3 linked regions of the Caenorhabditis elegans genome follow. The protein of the gene in region 2 interacts with the protein of the main gene of each other region in a pairwise test. Each region holds a gene or a part of one and is shown on either strand. Other genes may lie near its edges.

Evidence for each region.
Region 1: the proteins of drr-1 (region 2) and F27C1.4 interact in a two-hybrid assay, tested with the Caenorhabditis elegans proteins (one large-scale study listed by BioGRID).
Region 3: the proteins of drr-1 (region 2) and B0034.1 interact in a two-hybrid assay, tested with the Caenorhabditis elegans proteins (one large-scale study listed by BioGRID).

What each region holds. Positions count from the first base shown.
Region 1 is NC_003279.8:5,419,957-5,424,414, forward strand, and holds F27C1.4 (uncharacterized protein), read left to right. Parts: upstream 1-2,829; coding exon 2,830-3,249; downstream 3,250-4,458. Other genes in the region: erp-44.1 (Thioredoxin domain-containing protein), read right to left, coding at 50-145, 685-736; utp-14 (Small-subunit processome), read right to left, coding at 1,552-1,602.
Region 2 is NC_003280.10:13,493,404-13,498,309, reverse strand, and holds drr-1 (MARVEL domain-containing protein), read left to right. Parts: upstream 1-2,409; 5' UTR 2,410-2,517; coding exon 2,518-2,598; intron 2,599-2,650; coding exon 2,651-2,740; intron 2,741-2,794; coding exon 2,795-3,001; intron 3,002-3,047; coding exon 3,048-3,194; 3' UTR 3,195-3,264; downstream 3,265-4,906. Other genes in the region: ndua-7 (NADH dehydrogenase [ubiquinone] 1 alpha subcomplex subunit 7), read left to right, coding at 3,717-3,789, 3,859-4,048, 4,816-4,906.
Region 3 is NC_003280.10:5,965,403-5,973,871, forward strand, and holds B0034.1 (Glycine rich superfamily member), read left to right. Parts: upstream 1-3,093; 5' UTR 3,094-3,101; intron 3,102-3,138; coding exon of another isoform or gene 3,139-3,308; intron 3,309-3,355; coding exon of another isoform or gene 3,356-3,423; intron 3,424-3,467; coding exon of another isoform or gene 3,468-3,566; exon of another isoform or gene 3,567-3,567; intron 3,568-3,616; exon of another isoform or gene 3,617-4,129; intron 4,130-4,700; 5' UTR 4,701-4,708; coding exon 4,709-4,751; intron 4,752-5,562; coding exon 5,563-5,718; intron 5,719-6,194; coding exon 6,195-6,374; intron 6,375-6,573; coding exon 6,574-6,699; intron 6,700-6,801; coding exon 6,802-7,061; 3' UTR 7,062-7,260; downstream 7,261-8,469. Other genes in the region: B0034.4 (uncharacterized protein), read right to left, coding at 2,733-2,777, 2,825-3,093, 3,139-3,308, 3,356-3,423, 3,468-3,566; B0034.5 (G-protein coupled receptors family 1 profile domain-containing protein), read right to left, coding at 7,454-7,564, 7,720-7,804, 7,848-7,969, 8,024-8,328.

The DNA.
Region 1 (4,458 bases), on a different chromosome or scaffold from region 2:
GAAACATGATAATTAGCATATTTTCCATAGATAGTTGAAGACAGCTCACGAATAGTTTGCTCGAAGTTTTGTGATGTCAATGAAACAACTTCAGCATTCAGTAGAGCCGGACAGAATAGAAGTAGGGATAACCACCGCAGCATTTCTGAAATTTTTGTTATTCGATTTGAGAATTTATAGGGAATTTAAAAATGTTTAAGGCAAATGTTAAGAACATTTAAATGATTTTCCAGCTGTAAAAAGTATGCTTATCAACCGATCTATAGGAAAACAAAAAGTTCAAGAGTTTCTTGATTGGTCTGTTTCAAAACGAATGTTTTTGATTGGTTGTAAACGCATATTCATCATCAGTTAGTTTAGTGCGGAAAATGGCGTTTTGCAGGGTTTAGAAAGGGTAAGACGTTGTAAAACATTTCTCAAAACATAAAAATCAATGTCTGAATGCAGCATATTCAAATTTAAAAGAACGGCAAAAGACACGTGTACTTTTTGGCCAGCATTGGTCACACAAACCGCCCGGGGTATTAAAAATAGTGGAAAAAGTGTTGAATTATAAGAGACACAGACGCTGAATCAGAAGAGGCGCAGGGTGAGTGAGTGAGCACACGGAAAAGAGCAAACGAAAAGTGGAGAAAAAGCTGACTGGCGATGAGAATTGGGCGTGGATGGGGCAGCTTTACAAACGATTTTTCATGAGAATACTGTGTGCTTGTATCTCTCTGAGAGCATGTGCCATTCCGTGCTGATCACCGAGATTCACTTCTTCTTTCAAAACCGAAAAATATAAATTTTTGTTCGAATTTAAAAAAATCAAAACCTTTTTTTTTTGGTTAAAACTGAACATCGAAAAAAAAAACGTTTTGGGGTTTATTTTCTCAAAAATAGTGAAGGTGCAGGTTCTTGTGAGAAATTTGTCAGAAAAACTTGTTGTTGCAGTGTTTTCAGATTTTTTTAAACCAAATTTTTCGTTTATTAAAAAATTGAAGTATGGAAAATTTTTTTTTCAAAATCTTTAGTGGTTTTTAACCGACAAAAAATGTTTTTAAAAATAAAAAAAAACAATTCTAGAAAATATCTGGAAAAATGAAGAATAGTTCAATATTTAATGTTGATTTTAATGAGACATGATTAAATAGAGAAATACCCTAAAAAATTAAATTTTAAATACTTTCGAAAGCGAAAAGCAGACATTTTTTTGAGATTTTTATTTCAAAATTTCAAAACTTTGGGTTTCGTTGCCAACTTTTTCAAAATATTATTTTAACAACAAAAATTATATTTTCAAATTTCAAATAAATTGCTGGGGATATCCACCATAACGAAAAAACTGATTATAATTGAATTATTTTTTAAAAAATTTGTTTTTCATTTAAAGAATTACAGGAAATGTAAAATTGAGAAAATAATGAGAAAATGGTCTCAATTAAACTTTCACCGTAAAGAAAACATATAAAATTAACAACAACGAACATTTCAGGTGACACTTCAAAGAGAGAAAACCAACAATAAAGTTTTTTTAAAAAATCAACAAAAAATTAACAATTCTTCCAATTATTCTCCGAGTAGATGCTTCTTGTTGATTGGACGAATAGCTCTTCCAGCCTGAAAATATAAATATTATAAATAGAGAAATTTTATTCAAAATTTGTGTCTAGTAACTCATGAGGGGAAAAATGTGAAAATAGTTGGAGAAAAGAAGTAAGAGAAGGAGAAGAAGAGCATTTCACAGCTGAGTGAGGAAAAGCTGTCCCTAGAAGCAACACACACATCATCGATTTTCTTTCGAGCTTCAACAATGTTTTGAAACATTTCAAGTTCTTATCAATGTAATAGGAACGTGTGAAAACCCAGCAGAATGTACGGCGCCGAACGATGATTTTGAATTACTTTCAGTCAACAACTCGATTAGTTTTAGTGACTCGTCATGGTGTAAACATATATTTGATGTTTTTATTTCTTTCTAAATAGATTCTAACAATTTTCAATTGCAAGTTTTGTTGGTTGATTTCAAATAATTCCAATATTTATGATTACTGTAATGGTTTTTTGGAAGAGGAGACAAGATTTGCTGTAACACAGGGATTACTGTAACTAAAACGTCTAGAAAATTGCTCCTCTTCAATGATAATCTTTAGAAGTTTTCTTGCTATTTTTAAAAGTTATTCAAATTTCCTCGCTAGCTCACTGATCTTCTTCAATTAATACAGGTGTGAGCCAATCCAAATATGTATTCTCTTGTCAATCATTTTTCGTCATTCTTTCTCCGATCTATATGAACACCCACCAACCTCTACACAAAAAGATGACCTGCACCCGTTTGGGAGCATTCGGTTTCCTGCGTCTCATTCTAACCAACATACACAATCTATAATATGACTCGTTCTCTCATAAACGTGAATAGAGAGAGAGAAGCAGCGCGCGCGCACACATCTAAGGGGAGGGATTGTCCGATACGAGAAAAGAGAAAGAGACATAGGAAGAACGTAAGGACAACACAGCGTTCCTCTTCATCTTCTCGTCTTTCTTATTCTGTTACTAGTCATTAGTTGCCATTCGCATTCTGGTGGTAGAAAGAGCACATCGGAGATATATCTACTTTGTCTCTTCATTTTCTTTTTTTTCCGTAAATATTACACCTAGATTCAAAAAATCTAGGCAGATAGTACACTAGGATAAAATACATGCACTTGATTTAAATTTTTATGAAGTCAATCCTGTTGTAAATCCTACTCCGTTCGAACTTTCACTTTCATTCTTTTTTCCTTCCGTTGCCGGTCTAACTTGTCTCTTTGTATATATTATTTTTTTTCAGAAAACTACAACTAAACAATGAACTCCATCGTCAATGGACTCTACACCTTCATGTCCACAACCGTCGTCCCAGCAGTCACAGAACAGGCAGCGAACCTTGTTGGAGGAGCTTCTGCACTTGCCGAAGGAGCAACACAGGCTCTAACACAAATCAGTCAGACTGCTCTCGAGTGGGGATCTGGCTCAGAGGATGCCACGGCTTCTTCTGAAGTCTTCTCATGGGAGCAACAAGGGGCGGCGGCGGCGTCGTCTGATCTTCAAGAGGATAAAAAGGAGACGACAGAGGATGTTCACCAGGAGGCGATAGGAGCATCGTCACCAAATACATCGATCGAATGGGAAGTGATCCATGAGAATCCAGACGAGACGGGTCCAATCAGGCACAATCAATTTGAGATGGTGCAAAACAACTACGAGTGGATGAAGAATTCCAAATGATCTGGGATGAACGAAGAAATCCTATACATGTTCGGGTCTATTTTAATATTACTGTCCAATTTATGTCATGTTTTCGGTAATATTTACCGGTTTTCACAATGTTTCACAATAAACTTTCGTACGTGATCAATTCTACAATGTCCTTGGCAATAAAAACTACTTCAGACAAGAAATTTCAAAGACAACAGGGATTTGAGGTGTTAGAAATCATGGGCAATACTTAATGTAAAAAATCTATTAATAACAGAATATCGAGCTTCTTATCGGTTAATTTCGCAACCTATTACAACTCGAACAACATTCGCCAGTTTGCGTGTTCATTTTTGCATATTTTCTTGTTAGAACAGTGTTTGTTTGTTTTTATAGTCTACTTTTTTTTTAACGAAAAAGGGAAAAGCTTGTGACATCAAAATGAACTCGTCACATGTGCCGTTCGGTTCCTGTCTCCCGTGCCAGTGCATATATATGCACAGATGATAGATGTTCGCTTATATTTTGTGACATTATACACCTTTCTAAATATTTTAAAATCGAAAAGAGCTGTCTCAAATGTAAAAAGTGGTCCCTATTCCGAAATTATATCAAAATCAGTTTTGAAAAAATTTATTGTGAACAAAAGTTGCAAGAATTTTTGAATTTTTCTTTCGGCTGAAAATTCGAAATATTGTGCAATTTGATTTTAAAAAAAACCAAATAGTTGCATATGATTTTAGGGGAGCATATGCAAGGTTGCACTGAGTCTCATAGGGGTACTGTATTTTTTTATCTCTAATTCTCTAAACACTACTACTACTCGATTCTCTAATATATACAGTTTCTTCTTTCATTATTTTCGATTTACATTTTTAAATAATATGAAGATTTTAAAAATTGTATTCTTTAAAAACTTATCGAAACTTATTTCTAAACCAAATTTAAAAAGACCAACTCTCAAAAACCTATTATATTGATCCATATTCTGGGACTCTATATTGTCTCTTCTCTTCCTCTACTATGTTGGAATAATAATCAAATGGTCTCGTTAGCCGCCAGAAAGTTATTGATTACAAAGGTGTATACTGTTACATCAGATCGAGCGTTTTTGTGCACAGTCACGCCTATTTGGCAGCCTGCCATACGTTGGGTGTTCAGTCGTCCGTCGTTTTTTTTACCTAGGCTCTATGTTCTTAATTTCTTCTATGTAGTTTGATTTCCATATTACCTCGATTT
Region 2 (4,906 bases):
TATTTATCGAATGTCATATGAAAGTTGCTCTTTTGAGAGCAACTGAGCCAAAAAATTGAGATGAACTTGTGTCTAGTTTGAGCAAAAATTAGTTTGCATGTTTTGGAAAAAAAAAGTTGAAAAATTGAGAGAAAATTCATAATTTCTTCGATTTCTTAGCTCCCAATAGTTGCGTGGCCGCGGAAAATTGTTGGTAGCCGAGTTTTTTTCTAGGCCACGTAGTAAAATAAACCGTTCTTAACTGCATTTTCAAAAATTGATGGCTGAGTATTTGACTCTTCTAGGCCACGTAGTCAAATCCAGCGTGGCCGAATTTTTTTTGGCCGAGTTTTGGACTTTTCTAGGTCATATAGTCAAACCCAGTGTACTGGACGGGATTCATAGCGTGGCCTAGGTTTCTTTTTCTCGGCCACGTAACCAAAATTAAAAATGGCAAAAACTTGTGGCCGATTTTTCTTTTTTTTTCGGTCACTTGGTGAAACGGACCGTACTAAACTGTATTTTCAAAAATTGGTGGCCGAGTTTTTCCCATTTTCAAGGCCAAGTTGCAAAATGTTTTCTCTAATTCCGTATTCTAATTTTCTAACTATTTACAGAAGGGAATTTTCGTCCCAGGCCGCAAAAGAAAAATTGGTGGCCGAGTTTTTCCCATTTTCTAGGCCACGTTAAGAAATTCACAAAAAAATTTGCGTAATTGTGCGTAAACATGGTGCATTGCGAATAAAGTTTGAGACATGGCCGCGGAAAAAATTGTTGGCCGAGTTTTTTTGTTTATAGATTTGTAGCTTTTTAAGGTCACTAAAAGCAGGATTAGTTTTTTTTAAACAGTTCTGAGAAGCCAATTTTTAAAAATTGCACTGTGGCCGTGTTTTCGTATTTTCGCGGCCACGATCAGAAAACTCGGCCACCGATTTTTCCTATTTTTTTTTTACGGCCACATAGCAAAAAACCGCCCAATGCGTATAAAACACAATAAAAAAGGTAAAATTTTGCATTTTTAAGTGAAAAAATGCTAACTAAGAAAAAATTTTAAAAAAATTTTTTCGAAAATTAAAAAAAAATTTTTTTTTTTCGCAACGTTATTATTTTTAAATATAATTTATTTAAACATTTACACCAGGAAAACATGAAAAAGAGAGAAACATTTGGGAAAAATGGGAATTTTTGACTCAATGAGAGCCAAGTGATAAGAGGAAGTTGATGATGATTGAAAAGGAAAGGGATATATTTTGAAAAAGAGAAATGAGCACACACGTGCTGAGCCATCACTCTAATGGAGCACCATGAACACTTTCAGATGGGAAAAAAAACGTGTGAGAATAAGTTAAGCCACCTCTGTTTTGCTTCTGCTCTGCAGTCAACTACTCAAATTACTGTGACGTCGTCTCGCTAATTAGTTGATTATCGTCGTCTTCTTCCTCCTTTTTTGCAGAAATCTCAGTCTTTGTGAGAAATTTGGTTAAAGTTTGGAAAAAAATTTCTGAAAAAAAAATTTTTTTGAAAATTTTTTAAAGAAATTTTTTTTCCGCCAATTTTATTTTTTTACAAATAATTTTTTAATGAGTTCTTGCTCACTGAGATTAACAGAAAAAATGTTTTTACCACAAAAAATTGAAATTTTTTTTTTCAAAATTCCAAAAAAAAATAAACATTTTTTTAGCTCAGCCAATTTTTTTTTCGATTTTTTAGAAATTTAAAATTTACAAAAAAAATCTGCAATTGTACAAAAAAATCCGGAAATTTGGGAAAAATCAGTAAAATCAGGAAAAAAGTCTGTAAAATTTGGAAAAAAATCTTAAAAATTTACAGAAAATCTGGAAAATTTCCAAAAAAAAATTTGGAAAATTTGGAAAAAAAATCTGTAAAATTTCGAAAAAAAATGTGTAAAATTTGGAAAAAAATCTGTAAAATCAGGAAAAAAATCTGTAAAATTTGGAAAAAATCTGTAAAATTTGGAAAAAAATCTGTAAAATTTGGAAAAAAAATCTTAAAAATTTACAGAAAATCTGGAAAATTTCCAAAAAAAAATTTGGAAAATTTGGAAAAAAATCTGCAAAATTTCGAAAAAAATCTGTAAATTTCGAAAAAAAAATCTGCAAAATTTCGAAAAAAAATCAGTAAAATTTGTAAACAAATCTGTAAAACTTCGAAAAAAATCTGTAAAATTAAAAAAAAATCACATATCACTTTAAAAAAAACCTAAATTTAAAAAAATTCAATAAAAAGTCCGCAGCAACAAAAGTTTTAAACTACAGTACTCTTTTTAAAGACGCACACACCTTTTCGCATCTAACAAAAATTTGTCGTGTCGAGACCCCGGGAACCGTATTTCTATCACCAATAATACACTACAAACTACACAATAACCCCCAAATCATGTGAACTATAATGTTTACTGATAAGATACGTGTGTGAGCACAACAACAGACAGAATCACTGTGCACGTATTATTACAGTTTTAATCGATAAAATTTCGAATTCGCTGAATTTTTTTTGCAACACAAAATTTAAAAAAAAATGCAAACTCTTGGAAACATATTCGAAAATGAGGATAACGTTTTTCTCAAACTTCCACACTATTTTAAGCCATTGCAAGCGGTATGTTTATTGATTTTTTTAATTTCCCGATGCACCATGTTCAATTTTTCAGATTAACGCTGTAATTCTGGCGGTTTGCATTGGATCGACGGCTTCCGGGGATAATGGGATTCTTTGGTTTACTCTAATTGTTCAATTAATTGTTAGTTTATCCTTTTATTAAATTTTTACCCCCATCAACCCCCTGAATTTCCAGATTTCCGCGGCGGCAACGGTAATCTTCGCCCTGCGGATTCAGGATGAGCTCATGGAGAGTATTTCGAATGGAAGCATCGCGTGGAATGTCGTGGAGCTCGTGTATTCCTTTATTTTGGCGGTCCTCTCCGTGATTTCCGTCTGGCTTTCGTTTTCGTTCGCGAATCGGTCGCTTTTCGGCACTTCTGCGGGATATATTGCTGCTGGGGTGGGTTTTAAGGGGGATTTTTAGGCAATATATATGTTAATTTCAGGTTTTCTTCATCGTACAAACAATTTTCTACGCTGTCCCATGTACTGTAATCTATCGTGAGGTACAGACAACTTCGGATACCGAACGTCAGAATATTGTGATCGAACCAGCACATCCATTCCGTTCTAATGCTTATCAAGACTTGTGATTTTGTAGATTTATTCATTTTTCTTTTTTGCTTATTTTCACAATAAATTATTCTTTTATTGACTCTAAAAAGCCCGACTTTCAACTATAAAATCATGTTTATTTATATAAATTAATTACCATAGGCACATTGCCCGTAAAATGTGATGCATTGTGTGCAAACACCGTGACGCGCAAATGCACCAACTGACGACCGGTCATTTATTTATTTACTTTTTAATCGCTTTCTTTTCAGATTTTATCGATTTTCCGTGATTTTTTATGGATAATTTTGTTGAAAAATCAGTTAAGCTTGTTATTAGAGTTATTTTAAGTCGAAAATCCAGATCCGAATCGATTTGAGCAAAATTTGGCTGAGAAATGCTATTTTGAAGAAAAATGGTTTTTTTTCTTCTAAATTGCTAGTTTTCTCCAGTTTTTTTCTTGGAAAAATCGAGAAAAGCTCGTTTTGTTTATAATATATATTTATTCTAAGCCAAGCTTCCCAATTTGTTTATAAAAATATAAATTTTCCAGACCGACAATGAGCGGTCGCAAAATTGCGGCGGCCACTGTTCAAAATCGCACCCAGACGCCATTCTGGAACTGGCTTAAGCGTAAGTTTTTCTTTTTCCGTTTTTTGCGCTCCAATATTAACAAATTAATGAAAATTTAGAAATTTCCAGAAAAGCTGTTGGCTTCCGACCGACTCCCCATCACCCCGCCACCAGGAATCGCCGGCCCGGACGGAAAAGCAGTCTACCAGAACCCTCTCCGCTTCCCAAACACCCAATCCGCTCGTCCTTGCTCCGCAGAGCTCCCGGCTCTTCCAGGAGGTGTTCATCACAAGCTCGCTGATAATTATTACTTGACAAGGTTCAAAAAATTCCACCCTGTGGGGAAATTGCTTTAAATCACGCCTTTGGTACCACAATGACCGAATATCATGATAAAAAAATTTAAAAGTTTTTTCTAGATTTTATATGATTTTTTGAAAATTGAAAAATTCTCAGTTTTCACCCCTAATTTCTATTTGAATTTCCGCCAATTGAACTCGTTCGTTGGAGCGCGCTTGCATTATTTTCGTTAATTTTTTAAAATTTATTTTCATTATTTCACTGATTTTCTCTATTTTTTTGGGGTTTTAATCGGAAAATGAAAGAAATAAGCAAGAAAATTCACAGTCCTTATTAAAAAGTAGCCGAAAATGCCTATTATGCGATCCGACGACGACGAGCCTGAAATTAGTATTAATCAGAGTTTTAGCCATTTTCAGTTACTTCTTAATAAAAATTTTGCATTTTTCTTGTTTATTTCTTTCATTTTCCGATTAAAAACCTTCAAAAAATAAAGAAAATCAGTGAAATAATGAAAATAAATTTTAAAAAATTAACGAAAATAATGCAAGCGCGCTCCAACGAACGAGTTCAATTGGCGGAAATTCAAATAGGAATTAGGGGGGAAAACTGAGATTTTTTCAATTTTCAAAAAATCATATAAAATCCAGAAAAATTTTTAAAATTTTTTTATCATGATATTCGGTCATTGTGGCCCCATAGGCATGTTTTAAAGCAATTTCCCCACAGGGAGTAGTCCATTAAAAATTTAAATTCTCTCAAAAAATCATCAAATTTTTTTTGCAGAGACGGCCGCCGAAACGTCGATGCTCCGAAAGTGCTCTACTCGTCTGGCGAGTTTGTTGGAGGAGAAAAAGCACAGCCAGCGCAAGTGAAT
Region 3 (8,469 bases), 7.5 Mb from region 2:
TAGCATTAAAAAACCTTGGTGTTTCAATTAATCTTTGAAATAGGTTCACTTAGTAATTGGAAGAAACATTGCACACCAAAAGGGGAAAATATGAAAAAAGTGGGTGGTAGTAGACACTCTCAAATTCACACTCTATTTCATTTTTTTTATCGCCATCGCAAATCTCAACGACAAAAACGCGTTGAAGCCTTTTTTCCATTTCTCTGTCGCTTTGCTCAACGACTACATTTATTTTGTGTGTGTTGCTTTTTATGTGCCTATAGTCCTTTGGGGAAGTTGTTGGAAGCTCGCCGCCACCCAATGCCTGAAGGCTCGACGAGCTGGAACAAACCGAAAGAAAAACGGGGGAGAAGAAGAAGGAGAGAAGACCATCGTTGTTTTTAAGACTCAAGAGAAGAGGCTTCACACAAGCACACCTATATAATTGTTCAGTCATGCGTACCTCCGGCCCGCCAACTATTTATTTTTGAGAGTACTTCTACTGTGTCAGGCAGGCCTTTCACTTTTTGAGCATAAAAGGGGAGTCTATATGAAAGTGAAATGGAGGGTTGGTTTAGTATTAAAATAAGCAGCCCAATTACATGCAATGGCTATCGGCTCGTCGACGGCTCGGCGGGGATACTCTTCTATTGGGTTATTAGAGAGAAGTTTTTTTATACGAGAGATAGACATTCGGAGAACTATTGAAGAAATCAAATTTAAAAGGAACTGCTTCGAGAAACTCTAATTATTTCCGGTCACTTCGAAAGCGCTTGTATGAGGGAAAAATTGGCTCACATTTGGATCTTGTTTCGGAATTGAAAATTTCATAACGAATCCTTCAATTTTTCATGGCATGTAACATCAAAAAAATTTAACAAGTGGTTTTATAGTCTCTAAAATTTTCGCATTTTTATGCCACACTCGTGTTCATCAAAACAATTAAGCATAGTTTCAGAAAAGGATTACTATTCAAGTATTAAAATTCAACATTTGTATTTTGCTAAATTCTTATGTTATTTACAGAAATATCTAACTTAATTCCGAAAAGAAAACAGCAAATGGTTGTCATTATATAATTATTTAAATTTTTTACAAAGGGTTTAAGATTTTTCAGAACACAAATTTATCGTCAGAGGAAAAAGCTTTCTTTCCCCAAAAATGTTCAAAACAACTCAAACAAAAATATGTATCAATTGAAAACATAACTTGCAACATTTTTGGAAAGCTTCAGATCAATCTTAACAACAAATACTACAATTTGAAGGATATATAAGAAAAGGGACCACCAAAGAGACCAAATGGAAAGAAAGGACAAATGGGAAAAGGTTTCATGGCTTTGGAAGAGGAGAAAGAGTGCCCAGACATACGAATTCGCGCACGCATGGACCGACGGCTCCGGATGTCAGAAGTAGAGAGCACGAGACGCAGACAAGAGTTACGAAATATTGGGGAGACAGTGCGTGAGAGGAAGAGACGCAGAGTGAGTTGCTATGGGAGACCCCGAGGACCTCATTTGTTTTTTCAAATTCCTGCGAAGGTCGGATGTGGAAAATTTTAGTTTGATTGGATTGTTTTTCGAGAAATTCGAGACACTTGATCTTCCACTTTTTCTTCATCAAAAGAGGTCATATTTCATTTTATTGCATTTGTTGAGGGTGGAAATTGTTCCTGCAGATGACTATTATCTACATCATTCAAAAAATGACAAAGTTACGTAATCGGGAAATGTGTGATTGACAGAGTTACGCTGAGATTTGAATAGAAGAAGTGGTAAACATCAAAGCAAAACCTCTTAAGTTTTAATTGGATATAGGTCTCGAATATGTATTGTGTGGTTTTTCAGAAGATTTTTTTTTTAAATTGTTGTATTTTCCAATTCAATTGATTTTAAATTTTAATTTTCTGATTTTTGTGTTAAACTCGGCGCAACTTACTATTATTAAAATTTCTCAGAAGACGATTTAAATTGTATATATATATAAATAGCTTTTGTGTGGCCATTATTTTGAAACTCCATTTGAAAAAAATAATGTGAATAATTTTTCTAACCTATAATTACTGAATGTCAAATACCCATCGAAGATATCAATCTGATTTTGAAACATTATTTTTAAACTTTTCATTCAATCACGACTAACTATTAAAACATGAGTCGAATAACACATACACCGATCATCAAACACCATATTTCTCTCTCGCAACTTGAGCCAATATGAGCATGAACCGATGACAGATGGCCCTGCCATTTAGGATAACATCGTGAAGCGTCAAAGCATAAATGTGCTCTCAAATGGATAATCGGTGATGACTGAAGTGTGTATGTGAGACAGAAACATGGAAAGATGGAAATAAATGAATAATATTCTAATAATCTCATATTTTCACTATTTATCTTGCTTCGCAATGTTCATCATGGTAGCTCACCTCTTGGTTGTTTCTGGGGACCAACTGGGAGAACAGTTACAAATATATTTTAGATTTTTACTGTTTGCCAATTGGTTAGGTTGATGCTGTTATGGGAGACGCCACCATCGTCGCCTTCCGATTTTTGAAAGCTGATTCCCGAAACTGTAGCCTCCTTTTCGATCTGATTGTGAGTTATGAGTTCTTCAATCGATTCTCGAAGTTAGAATTTATTTTTAACCACGAGAAATCAATGAGATTTACAACAAGAATACAGCAAACATTTTATTGACTTAATCGTATTCAAAGGGCAATACATTTTTATTCGAGCTCATTCCTTCGTTGATTCATTTCGGATTGACATCTTTTTCTTTTTCGTTGACAGAAGCTGCCTGTAACTATTTTTATTTTTTATTTTGAATATCAACAAATCACTCACATCTTCATAACTGGGACCTCCTACTTTCTGAATCGATGGAGCATCATGAAGTGTATCATCACTTTTATCATTGATTTTTCCTGGTTTCAGAGCATTACGATGGCGTGCAGTTGGAGTTCGAGCAACTGGTTTTGGCGATTTGGCCTTCACAACATGATTGTCTGGATGAAGTTCTGGTTCAGTGTCAGTCAATGGTTTTTCAGTCAATAATTCATTCGCGTAAATCGATCCTTTTCGAATTGGCTTATGAACCGATGGCATTTTCTTCTCTGAAACGGTAACTAATTATTTCATACTTGTTTTTTAATTCTTACCATCTTTAATATGTTCCGAAACTAGCGGTGGTCCCTGAGCTACAGATCTTTCCGTTTTTTTGGTTGTGGCCACCACCTTCTTTTCCTTCTTTGGAGTAGGAGCTGTAGGCACGGTGGAGTTTGAGATCTTGGGAGATGGCTCAATATTTGACATCGCCTCAGCCTTGTCTCTAAAAATATTAAGATTTGTTGAGCGCTCACATTTCAGATAACTCACTCGTTCAAAGAAGCTTGTTCGAAAGCTGTCACTTTCACTGGTTGCTTATCTTCCACAGCTTTTTTCACCTAAAAACATTATTTTTGAATCTCAAATCATAATAGCTACTTACGGCTGCAGGCTTGGCTCTCTCGCTGGGCTTTTTGGAGAAAGCAGAACATTTGACGATGATTGTGCTAATTAAAACCAAATGAGCTGTTAGAGATAACATTCTGTAATTGCCAAGTGTATTTCTTAAGAAAACAAGAAAATTTAACTCACATACGAAACTATCAAAAGTGACTTCGTAATTTTACAAAATGATGGCTTTTCTGGATTTGTTCCCTTCACGTGTAGAAAGAAACGAGCAAAAAAAATCTTAGTGTTAGCTTTTTAGTTTTCACGGTGAATATGGATATTTTTAATGCTCAAAAAAAAAATATTGAACATGGTTTCAACTTTAACATTGTTAATAGAATCAGATTGATTAAATAAATCTTAGCATAAAAAAACCAATGGGCATACCTTCCTTGGACTTTTTTTTAACAAACGATCTTGTTTACTAATCATATTCTATTTCCCATCATTCTAGAATCAGCAAAAAAAAGTGTGAAACCTGGTGTTTTTAGTCTCCCAAACATCCAGCCTCCAAGTCATCTATCTCCACCTTCTTCTCCTCATTTCAAATTCCTTTTCAATCTCGTTGTTTGTAAATGCAAATTGGGGCCAACAATACAATAGGTGTAAAATGGCATCAGAAGTAGTAGCAGGGGAGGGCAGTCATTCTCTTCTTCTCTGCCCCTTTCACAGCCTTCAATCAGTTTCAGTTTGTATCGTCCATCATTTTCGAGAATACGAGGTGACCAAGGTCAATTCCTTCGGTCCGCCTTGTTTCGTTACATGGTTTCATAGCGAATACTTTTCATAAAAGTGACCAAACCGCTCTTCTACATTTTTTTCTCGCTTCTTCGTCCAACTGAAAGTGATTTCTTTCAATTTATACTACTTTCATCTTATTTAGTACAGATACTAGTATAACTTTTTCCTTTCAATTTCATTTCGCTCATAAAATTGGCTGACTTTTCAGTTATAGTTTTGAATCGTTTCAATGCTTTGACTTCAGTCCAAATTAACTGATTAAAAGATTCAAATTTTTTTAAAGTAAAATTCTTTCTATTTTACAATTGAAGTTATTTTAGAATTTCATTTTTCTGAGTCAATTTTTTTGCATCTGAAATCTAAATTTGAAAATTTTGAAACTATAGAATATTATGTAGTTTTTCTAAAACTGTTATCTTATTTTCTAGGTTTTCAATTTTGCTGTTACATATTAAAAGTATTAAAATTTAAAGTTGAACATTTTCAGCATCAAGAATGAAATCAACACTTCTAATACTACTGTTATCAATCAAACAAGGTACGTATCTTCATATAATTTTCCTCCCGAATCACTATTGTCTTCACTCTGACATCACTTTTAAGACAACAACAGTCACGTTATACACTTAATGATGCTTTTCCTTGTTAATCTCTGAAACCACCCACACCTTCCCAATTTGAGAGTGACAAGAAATTCATTTGTTTGAAAGTATAAACGAGGTTGTAATGAGTCAGGCACTCTTTGAACAATGGAATAAAGAATTCAAAAAGGAGGCAAAAATGTTGTATGTGTGTAATGAATAGATGACCGTAACAGAGGACAAAACACATGATCAGAAAAGGGGGTAAACGGGTGAAGCAGACAGTTTGGCGGGTGGGTCTCATATGATGGCTAATGGGGAGTGTGTGTGTATTTTAAAAATCATTGAAACAAGATCTTCTGAAGCTTTCTGAAGCTTCTGAAGCACAAGGAAAATCACCAAATTTTTGAGAAATGCTGCATTTTTTTTTGAGAAATGCTGCATATTCAGAAACTTACAACGTTCGAATTAGGATCGCAAAAAATTAAAATCGAAATTATTTGCAAATTTTCTTTGATCGGCTTCCAAAATCATGTGTGGTCAAAAGTAATAGAAATCAATTTCCACTTTTTGACTCTATCTGTAAAGGAAAAATTTCAGTTTTTTTTAAATATTTTTCAATACGGTATTCATCCATTTTATCACCCTATAAGTAAAATTATGGTTTTTCAGCTTTAAACTAAAGAGTTAGATCAATAATACAAAAATTTACTATTGAAATTAACTATTGACCTCACTATAATTCACTCGTATTATTCAATTTTACAGGCTCTTCTCAAATAAATCTCGGATCATTCTTTCTCCATCCTCAGCAGAACAATGGCGGCTTCGACATGGGAATGGGACAAGGAGCAAATATTTTAGGATTTGGAGGTGATCGTAGCTTTAATTTAGCTGGTAACAGAGCTGGATTTGCTTTGGGATGTGAGTATTAACACTTTTAACAACAAAATTGCAAAACTCTAAAGACTAAGAACTCTTCGTGTACAGATTTAATAACGTAGGCCTGGCTGCATGCCCAATCGGTAAATTGTTATATGTTGAATAGCTCCTACTGCTCGAAAGATGACCGAGTCATTACAGTTTTCTTTTGAAAATGTGTTGATTACTGGCTTACTATTAGATTCAAACCAAGGTTTTGAAGACTTCCCATTACTTTATATGCGAAGTTATTTTTAAGTTGTACCCAACTTTTATTTTTATAATTGATTTAGCATGTATTAATTATTAAAAATTTAACAATCTTACTATTAGTTAGATATAATTATTTTTTTTATTTATAATTATAACATTTTTTAACAGTATGGACTTCTCAATCTAACTTTCTTTTCATTAATAATTTTCATTTAAATTTACTGTATTTTGCCTTTGATGTAATATTCAATAATTTCCTTTTTCAGCTAATAATGGAGCTCTTGTCGGCGGACAACGTGTTGGAGTTGATGGGGGAATTGGTGGAGGACGTGAAGGTGTTGAAATGGGAAGTCAGGTGCAATTTGGAAATGAGCCAAATCCTGGTCATCCAGCCGGACAGTTTGGAAGTTTTATGGATAATGTCAAAAACTTTTTCTCATTTTTGGGTAAGTTTGACTATAGGAATTTTCTGGAAAGCAGAAGCTAATCGTTCAAAAGGAAAATCATCTGTTCATAAAGTTATCTTGATCAAGCATCAATGTCTTTGTTTTCCATTTCAAGTTTAACACGTACATCATATGAACTTTGAACATCTATAATTCTTCTTTCTCTGGAACTTTTTCTATCTTAAATAAAAAATTACAGGTCGTGGAATGCCAATGCCCCCTCAACAACCACCTCCATCACCTCCATTCTCATTGGGAGTCACTCGTCCACCAACTTTAATTGGTACTGAAAGATCTGAAAGTGAAAATGGAGGAAGACATAGACGTATGTGATTATATATTTATTGAAACAGTGGGGATTTGTTAAAACAGGAGCTCTATGTTTTTTAAATTTGTTTCACATTCCTTTCACACAATTTTCTTTCAGCTCGCCCATGGTTCCCAGAAGGTGAACAAATTCCAGAAGTAACTGGAGAAATGAGGCCAAAAGAAGGAGAAGCTGGAATTTCTTCATCATCCTCTTCCTCTTCTGAAACTGAATTCATTGGGCCAAACAATGGAGAAATCCCCAGAAAATCTGTCGAGTTCAGTATCGATAAAGAGCCAAGAGAGGAGTTCACTGAGGATTTATTCACGGCACAAACAAGTCGACCACGAGAGTTGCCAGGGCTTATAGAGTTTGCCTAGATTATCTTAATTCTCCCATCTTTATATATTTTCTCAAACATTCCCTTACATAGATTTTCATGACCTTTCTACGGGTTTTGTAAATATTTAAATAGTTCTTGATCTTTTACGCTGCCCTTTTTGAATAATTTAAGTTGAATTGTCAAAAAAATTGCAGAATCACAGCTTTATGAATAAATCTTTATGACCAGCAACAAAAATACGCAGTGAACTATGAAATGGTATTGTTACGCAGAAAGAATCACATCTTATGTGACGTCATGCTTACACTTGAAATTTACATATTTATAAGAATTTAGTCACAATTGTGAAAAAAACCGATGACCCGTTGATCATTTGGAATTACAAATCACAGTTAAAACAATTGAATTACATACATAGAATTGAAACTATTAAACTAAAATCTTTGCAATCAGAGAAAAGGTTTGATGCATCTTTTGTTGATGTTCGCTTTTATGAGTGAATGACTTTTTTACAGCTCTTCGAAGCTCCGGATTGCACAGCTGAAATGAAAAAAAGTATGAGTTGATTTTGTGTTACAGTTTATATCTCTAAAGAAACATCTGAAAACATTTGCAACGTCCCGTTTCAGCCAGTAAATTTGAGGATTGTTACAATAAAATTTCGAACTGACAAATTCAAATTTATAATCACTTACCATATATATTGGGAGTCGAAGTGCACAAGCAGTCACTACCAGAACTGAAGAAAGATCAGCGGATAACATGTACTCTTCCAAGAACCTGAAATGTTTTTATAAATTTGAATAGTATTTTCCAGTACTACCGTGTTTGCAATGACTCAATATCAATGAATTCCCAAGCGGTGATGAACACATTCACTACGTTTGATATCAAATAAATGACACAAATGAATAGCATTGTGGCTGTCGCCTGACGTACGTTTGTCTGAAATATTTCTTTGGAAATTAATCAAATCTGATGTTTTCTGTGATGACATACCCGACTCTGCATTCTCAATGAAAATCTTCTTCTTGATCTATTCCCAAAAGCGTGTTGCATTTGAGATCGAAGCTCCAGGACAATTCCAAGATTTATTAATAAGAGAAGGGCAAATGGAAGAAACACAGTGGCAATGTTTCGAATCCAAAACTTGTAAATTGTACCATACCAAACAGATTTTGTAATATCTGTTACATCTACATAATACTCCATTACTGTATTTTTGCATGAAGGATCTTCATTTGGAAACACATCAAGCTCTATGAGCATTCCACCTTTTGTTAGTACTCCAAGGGAAAGGCATGCTGAAATAATAAATTAGTTTCAATGTGAAGTTTTTTTTTTTTAAATTTCAAAATATGTACCGCAATGTGTCGTAGAATGTTTAAACTGAAAAATTAAGCTTCTCTTTATTTTTGTAATTAGTTTTTAAATTTTGATTTTCA